Linked DNA regions of Oryzias latipes. The protein of the gene in region 1 purifies or fractionates together with the protein of each later gene. This does not show direct contact. Links are inferred from orthologs where the notes say so. Each region holds a gene or a part of one and is shown on either strand. Other genes may lie near its edges. The genes, in order: inositol polyphosphate 5-phosphatase K and gart.

Region 1 (3,811 bases):
CCTTCACAAGAAAAAGACCCCTGCTTTAGCATCCATGTGGTGTTGGACAATTTGTTGTTTTTCATTCTTCCGATCATTCAAACACAACATGAACGCAGCAATTCTCTAAGTTTGCGTTTTACACAAAGTACATCAAGCTATTGGTGCAATTAGCTCTAAAATGAGAACAGAAGGCATTGTTTTGAAATAAAAATTCAATAATGTTCTGTTTTAAAATGTATATAAATTTTAGATCTGAATGTTTCTGTCCAGATTCCATGTTATTTCTTTCTCTTATACAGTGGATTACCAAAACACTCCACGCACCTGCTCCCGGAGAAGGACTCCGGCCCTTCTATTGAATTTTAGAACCCTCTGAGGCCCGCGAGTCAAAAAGTCTGCCCTCCCCTGGTCTAGATGACTCACCTGATACCTGCTCATGCAGAAACTCTGAGTGAATCTAAACTGTGTCCTTACAGTTAAATATGATGAAGAAAAAGGAGGCGCTGCTACAGGAGTTTGAGGAGGGGCCGCTGGACTTCGCGCCCACCTACAAGTTTGACCTGAACTCTGATTCCTACGACAGCAGGTTAGAACTTCAGTGAACGTGATGGTCAGATCTCTGCTGTAACGATGCTTTGCCTTTGAGGGGCCAGCTTGTTCCTGGGGGGTGGGGCAACGTTGATGAGGAACTGGCTGAGGTAGGACGGGCAGCTGAGCTGGGTGGGGTGGGACTCATTCTGCCATGTACAGGTTTCTTGGTCCTCACAAATGTGACTCTAAAAGAGCAAAAGACAGAAATCATCGACCAATGTTGGATCATGTTTTGAGACCTTTGGTTTACTCTTCACCTGCTTCTCCTTCTTAGGTTCTACCAAACATGGTTTGGCTTTAAGTAAGACATTTCTGTGCACATTTATATGTTTGGTTGCTGTGAGCAACCACTAAACATCCCAGTAAGCATAACCCCTGTGTGGTCTTGGATTATAAGGTTTAACACCCCCTAATGCTTTCAGAACTGGATAAAGCTTTATTAACACGCTTGGTTCAAGACCTCATGACTCTGTGGAACACGTCTGACGTTTAAATTCAAAAGCAGGTTTTTGTTCAAGTCCCCTTTTACTGTTTCCTCGCATGTTGTGCTTCTTACCTCCATGTCATGTTGTCCCGTCATGCTTCTGTCCAGTAACACCATGTCAGAGAAGAAAGTTCACTGAACATTCAGCTGAACCTCCTCCACATCAAGAGCTTCTCAAGACTTTAAAAATCAGAATTTTAGCAACTGATTTACTTTTCTTCTGTCAAATAAACTCTGTAGCGGTAAGAAAAGAAAACCGGCCTGGACCGACAGGATTCTGTGGAGGATCCGACCTAAAGCCCCGCCCCCTGACGAGCAAGAAGAAGATGGTTCCAGGCCAGATGTCAAAAGGATCCGACAGCTTGAGGAGGATGAGGAGTTCCCTCTGAAGGTCAGACAGGAGCTGTACTCCAGCAGCATGGAGTTCAGCATCAGCGATCATAAGCCCGTCCTCGGCATCTTCTCTGTGGAGGTGAGACGCTCCGCCGTCCGGACGACGTCAATTTGTTTTGTAAATTATGTTTGAAATCTTTAAACTTTCAGTAACTGGAACCCTAAAGTCTGATTTATTATATTGTTATATTATATGTTGTTATATTAGCTCCACACTCAAATTCCAGCAGTTATATTATCTAAATCTTGCAAAACATTTATGTTTAACAATACTAACACACTTTTAAAATCACCAGTTACTCTTAACCACAGATATCAGATCTGTTGGTAGATTTATCTAAATAAGTGGTCCCCAACCCTGCAGACAGGTATGGGTGCAAAGCACAGTTGGTACCGGGCTACAGACAAAAAAAACACCTCCCACATTTTGTCCATCTTATTTCTAATCTGATTCTGAAGAAAGCTTTTATTTTGGAAAACTACTAGATTCTCTCCACCACAGCCGACTCATACTTGATGCATGTGAAGTCACTCAGTCACGTGTCAAAATCTATTCGCTTCTTTGTTAAAACAGCTGTGCCGACCGTAAAATTGAAAAACCTAAGCTAGCAAAGTTAATAAAAGACGAACGTATTTGGAAAGTTTCTTTTGGCAGAAAAGAGCCAGTGAGGAAACAGAAGAGAAGAGGCTTTGACTTCAAAATAAAAGAGAGCTGCATTTAGCAGACAAAAACCAGGAGTTTTTACGCCAGATCTGGATTTATTGTTCCTACACACCATAATAAAAATGCATATTAATATTCAGCAACCAGTTGCCTAATATTCAGAGGATGCTGCCAATAAAGTGGTTCAAACGGTGGATTCGTGTTTATAGTTATATTTAGAAAATACCAGTTTTAGTGACCATTTATTTTGTATTTATCCATCGCACCTTTAAAGTTTGTGTGGGTTTTTCGAGTCGAGGGAACCTAGAAGTAAAAAAACTGGACGTTCATTTCATCGTCGTACCGGCTGGTCCGTGAAAACGTTGTCTGACATTGAACCGGTCCGAGGCCAGAGAAAGGTTGGGTCCCACTGATCTAAAGTAAAAGGTATTCTGTTTCTACGCCCCTCTAGCTGAAGAAGAAGTTCGATACTCCTCTGGTGCGTTTGCAGACAGAAGGTGACTGGAGCGCAGATATCGACTCCATGATCCTGTACAGCCCCCTGCAACCATTTCCCTCCAGCAGCTGGGACTGGATTGGACTGTATAAGGTGACTTGTCTATCGGCAGCTGCTAAAGACGCCTTTGCAGGAGCAGATTCATGAGGTCTTTATGGGTTCCAGGTTGGGTTCAGCAGCGTCTCAGACTACATCACCTACACGTGGGTCAAAGACAACGAGGTGGCCTTCAACCAGGAAGTGATGCAGGTACCCGTCTGGAGATGGAGTTTGGGTCATTCACGTCTGCTGGAGCTTAATGAGTTTCTTCTTGCAGGTTTACATCAGTAAAGAGGAGATCCCTGTGAGGGGCGGGGACTGCGTGTTGTGTTACTTCAGCAGCATCCTGCAGTGCATTATCGGAGTGAGTGAGCCATTCAAGGTCAGTTAGCTGAAAACATTTATAAAGGTCCGTCCTCAGACAAAGCTGCAGGTCAGCTCTAGTGCTGTTCTTCTCCAGGTCCGGGAGTCCTGGGTGGCCACTGAGGAAGGTCTGCTGCCCGACAGGATCAACACACACGACCAAATCACGATGGACAAGGATCTTTGAGCCTGGACTTGATCACTAATCAGTGACGGGGTTCATGCATCATTTCAAGCTTTCAGTTACTCAGACAACTGAAGTTTCCAGAAATGTTTCATTGGACCTGAAGAAACCTCTTTTTCTCAGGATGGCTCTTCTGACCTTCGTGTTTTCCGTCATTCTGAACATTCACGTTGTCTCGGGTCTCACTTGTGAAAAATCAAGTTACTGTAATGTCTATAATTTATTAATATTGTGTGTTTTTTGTTGTTAGGAACAACTTAGAAGAAGGTTCGTGAAAGAACCTGTCACTCACAAACGTCGCATTCTCCTTCACCCCTAAGATCAGATCATCTTCAGTTAGCCTTTACGTAAAAACAGATTTACAAACATAAAAGGGAACAGCAGAAACTGGCAAAGCTCATCCACCATGTTTGAACTGCATCCATTCAAAGCCTCGTGGCCTTTTGCAGTGGAGGATGCAGATTTTCTGCTATCCCTGCCGGTCCACTGCTGTACATGACCCTTTCAAAGTAAAAGCAGTCTGATGCAGGAAACATTTTTATTCTCTTCCTGTTTATGGTGTTCTTTCAGCCAGAAAGCTGAACACAAACTTTACACGTTTTAGAAAGAAATTTT
Region 2 (3,811 bases), on another chromosome or scaffold:
AAAAAACATTTTAAAAAGTTGAATTACTGTACGTAAAAATATATTTGCTGAAACAAGTGACGGAAAAAACTGAACCGTTTCTCCTAGGTAGAAGCATTAATGAAGGAACAGAAAAATGATTGTCTTCTAGAATAAACTATAATAGTTTAATTATTTATCTCTTTAGCGTTTGATCATTTGAACTCAACAGCCTGCCGACCTCTGACCTTCACCTTTCCAGGTGCTGCTGCCGCTGCTGCACAGCGACCTTTATCAGGTCATCATGAACACCGTCAAGGGGAAGCTGGCCTCTAACGCCCCCGTGTGGCGGCAGGACGCCTCTGCGGTGACGGTGGTCCTGGCCAGCGCTGGATACCCCGGTTCCTACAGGAAGGGCGTGGAGATCTCAGGTGAGGCCGGCGTCCGGGGTCTGCTCTCAGGTGTCTGCAGGCTCCTCACGGCGCGTCCGTCCTGCAGGTTTGTCTCTGCTTCAGGACATGGGGCTGCAGGTTTTCCACGCCGGCACCGCTTTGAAGGAAGGGGGCGTGGTCTCCAGTGGCGGACGGGTCCTGACTGTCACGGCTGTGCGCCCAACCCTCGAGGCGGCTCTGCAGGCGGCCAGCCAGGGCGTGGCGACCATCGGCTTCCAGGGCGGCGTGTACCGGCGCGACATCGGCCACCGGGCCATCGCTTTCCTGAAGCGGCGCAGGTGAGCGAGCGCCATGTGGCGTCTGCGCATCAGGCGGTCCGTCTACAGCTCTGCTCTCCCACAGAGGCCTGACCTACAGGGACAGCGGGGTGGACGTCTCCGCAGGAAACCGGCTGGTGGACGCTATCAAGCCTCTGGCCAAAGCCACGGCGCGCCCCGGTAACGCAGGAGGAGCCGCCACTTCAGACCGCGTCTGCGTGGACGACTGACCCCTGTGTCTTTTCAGGATGTGACGCAGAACTCGGAGGCTTCGCCGGGCTCTTTGACCTGAAGGCCGCCGGCTTTGTGGACCCGATCCTGGTTTCTGGGACGGACGGAGTCGGGACTAAGCTGAAGGTCCGTCGCTGGAGCGCCATCCTGGCATTTTGGCGGCGGTCTAACCGTTTGGTGTGTTCAGGTGGCACAGGCGTGTGGGAAGCATGGAAGTTTGGGTCAGGACCTGGTGGCCATGTGTGTGAACGACGTCCTGGCTCAGGGCGCCGAGCCGCTCTTCTTCCTGGACTACTTCTCCTGTGGCCACCTGGACGTGGACGCGGCCGCCGCCGTAGTGGGCGGCATCGCCAAAGCGTGCGAGCTGGCCGGCTGCGCTCTGCTGGGTGAGAAGGCCCGGGTTGATCGCACCGCTCTAGGTTCTGGTTTGGGGTTCTAACGCTGTTCCGTCCTAGGCGGGGAGACGGCGGAAATGCCGGGCGTGTACGCTGAGGGAGAGTATGACCTGGCCGGGTTCTGCGTGGGCGCCGTGGAGCGTGGCGCTCTGCTGCCGCGGCTGCAGGAGATCGCAGAGGGAGACCTGCTGATCGGGGTGTCGTCCTCCGGGGTCCACAGCAACGGCTTCAGTCTGGTCCGCAAAGTTCTGGAGAGGGCCGACCTCGGCTACAGCTGCCCCGCCCCGTTTGGAGAACCGGGTCAGACCGTCGGTGAGTTCTGGTTTGTTAAGGTTCAAAGGTCAGGCTAAAAAATACAACGGAAGTATTTTCCAGTTCAAAGTTCAAATCAAGTTTTTATTCAAACACATGTCAGAAAAACTTTATTTAAAGTCGTCTTGTGGACGGTCTTCTGCTTCCAGGAGATGTTCTTCTGACCCCCACAAAGATCTACAGCCGCCTCCTCCTCCCCGTCCTCCGCAGCGGCGCCGTCAAAGCCTACGCCCACATCACTGGTGGGGGGCTGCTGGAGAACCTCCCCCGGGTTCTGCCTGAGAAGCTGGCGGCGGATCTAGGTGAGGAAGCTGAGGTTTTCCCGCGGTTTGGAGTCAGGAGCTCACTTCTTCTTCCTCCTCCTCTTCCTCAGACGCCACCAGGTGGAGCATCCCCGCCGTTTTCTCGTGGCTTTACAAAGAGGGGGGCCTGAGCGAGGAGGAGATGGCCCGCACGTTTAACTGTGGCTTGGGGGCGGTGCTGGTTGTGGCGCCCCCGGATGCTCAGCAGGTGCTGCGACAGCTCCAGGGGGAGGCGGCCTGGATCGTGGGGTCTCTGATTGACAGGCAGCCAGGTGAGACGGAGAACTTTGTGACTTCAGCCCACAGCTTCGCTTTTCCTAAAAGATTCTGGGTTGCAGGTTCTCAACCTGTGCTGGTCCGCAACCTGAACCAAAGCCTGACGAAGGCGGGACCAGCAGAACAAAACGATGGTTACCACGGCAACAGCAGCGCCCCGCCACAGAAGAAGACCAGAGTCGGCGTTCTCATTTCCGGCACAGGTGAGTCCGGCCACTAAGCGTCTTTCTTGGTGGAAGGTTTCTAGAAGATGACGGTTGTTGTTGTGCGGCGCAGGAACCAACCTTCAGGCGCTCATCGAACAGACCAGACGTGCGTCCAGCTCGGCGCAGATCGTGGTCGTTATTTCTAACAGACCAGGCGTCCAGGGACTGAAGAGGGCGGGGCTTGCTGGCATCCAGACACGGGTACGTTCATGTATAAAGTATATTTAACATGTGAATGTTGTGATGTCACTGGTTGTTGTCCTCCAGGTGGTCGACCACAAACTGTTTGGCAGCCGTGCAGAGTTTGACGGGACCATCGACCGCGTCCTGGAGGAGTTTGGCGTGGAGTTGGTGTGTCTGGCCGGATTCATGAGGATCCTCACTGGAACCTTTGTGAAGAAGTGGACAGGTGATGATCACTGACGTCTTGGATGGAGCTGTCACAGTCTACTTACTTCTGCTTCTGCTGCAGGTAAACTCCTGAACATCCACCCGTCGCTGCTGCCGTCCTTCAAAGGAGTGAACGCTCAGAAACAGGCGCTGGAGGCTGGCGTCCGCGTGGCGGGATGCACGGTGCACTTTGTGGCTGTAAGTACATATTTATTTATCACTGAACTCTAAGTAAACCTGTGATGAGGACAAAGACTGACCGTGTGTCCTGCAGGAGGAGGTGGACGCCGGCGCCATCGTCGTCCAGGAGGCGGTCCCTGTCCTTCCTGGAGACACAGAGGAGACGCTGTCAGAGAGGATCAGGGAGGCGGAGCATAGAGCCTTTCCTGCTGCCATGGAGCTGGTGTCCAGTGGTTCTGTGAAGTTAGGAGGAGATGGACAAATCCTCTGGAAAAGCTGAAGACCTGGACGGACGGTCCTTTAATGTGAACCGTGTAGTTTACCTGATAGACTTGACTGTAACATTCCCAATAAAGATCCTGCTGAGGATGATGGAGATGTTTGTGTGGATTCTGTACGAAGCTACAGTCCTGGAAGACAAATCTCACCTTAAGGACCTTCCAGGTCAGATGTTTACCTTGAGCCACATCTGGATTTTCCAACCCTGGTGGCTCCATCACACCAGCCTTTAATCAGCATAATCACCTGTTTACGCTGATAATAGACAGGTGTGATGGAGCGCCAGCTTTAAGAAACTCACCGACCGCAGAGACGCCGTCTTTATACCTGAGAACCGGAGCAGAAGGTTAGTTGTGGTTCAAAGAAAGACAACATGACCTGAAAGTGTCTAAAAACTGTAGGAAAATGACAAAGATGCATCACTTTATACTGAATAACTTCAGTTCCAGTGTTCACATTCTGTAAGTCTTGAACCGTTTTATTCAATGACCCAGTGGATGCAGCAGCTTCTGACACTTTACGTTCCATCAAAGCTGCTTTTCTCTGGGAGAAAATCCACTGGAGAAAACGGTT

Evidence for each region.
Region 2: the proteins of inositol polyphosphate 5-phosphatase K (region 1) and gart purify together in Homo sapiens (co-immunoprecipitation; 3 studies listed by BioGRID and IntAct, counting the BioPlex papers as one, with this or other methods). This does not show direct contact. The link is inferred for Oryzias latipes from reciprocal best matches to the Homo sapiens genes INPP5K and GART.

Annotation. Positions count from the first base shown.
Region 1 is NC_019871.2:19,602,324-19,606,134, reverse strand, and holds part of inositol polyphosphate 5-phosphatase K, read left to right. Parts: intron 1-458; coding exon 459-568; intron 569-847; coding exon 848-874; intron 875-1,297; coding exon 1,298-1,529; intron 1,530-2,565; coding exon 2,566-2,703; intron 2,704-2,775; coding exon 2,776-2,859; intron 2,860-2,926; coding exon 2,927-3,031; intron 3,032-3,109; coding exon 3,110-3,199; 3' UTR 3,200-3,811. UniProt on the Homo sapiens protein: Inositol 5-phosphatase which acts on inositol 1,4,5-trisphosphate, inositol 1,3,4,5-tetrakisphosphate, phosphatidylinositol 4,5-bisphosphate and phosphatidylinositol 3,4,5-trisphosphate.
Region 2 is NC_019860.2:23,313,882-23,317,692, reverse strand, and holds the end of gart (trifunctional purine biosynthetic protein adenosine-3), read left to right. Parts: intron 1-220; coding exon 221-389; intron 390-456; coding exon 457-688; intron 689-752; coding exon 753-847; intron 848-914; coding exon 915-1,024; intron 1,025-1,085; coding exon 1,086-1,284; intron 1,285-1,353; coding exon 1,354-1,605; intron 1,606-1,668; exon of another isoform or gene 1,669-1,754; coding exon 1,755-1,907; exon of another isoform or gene 1,908-1,978; coding exon 1,979-2,386; exon of another isoform or gene 2,387-2,459; coding exon 2,460-2,590; exon of another isoform or gene 2,591-2,656; coding exon 2,657-2,798; intron 2,799-2,844; exon of another isoform or gene 2,845-2,861; coding exon 2,862-2,977; intron 2,978-3,039; exon of another isoform or gene 3,040-3,053; coding exon 3,054-3,239; 3' UTR 3,240-3,331; downstream 3,332-3,811. UniProt on the Homo sapiens protein: Trifunctional enzyme that catalyzes three distinct reactions as part of the 'de novo' inosine monophosphate biosynthetic pathway.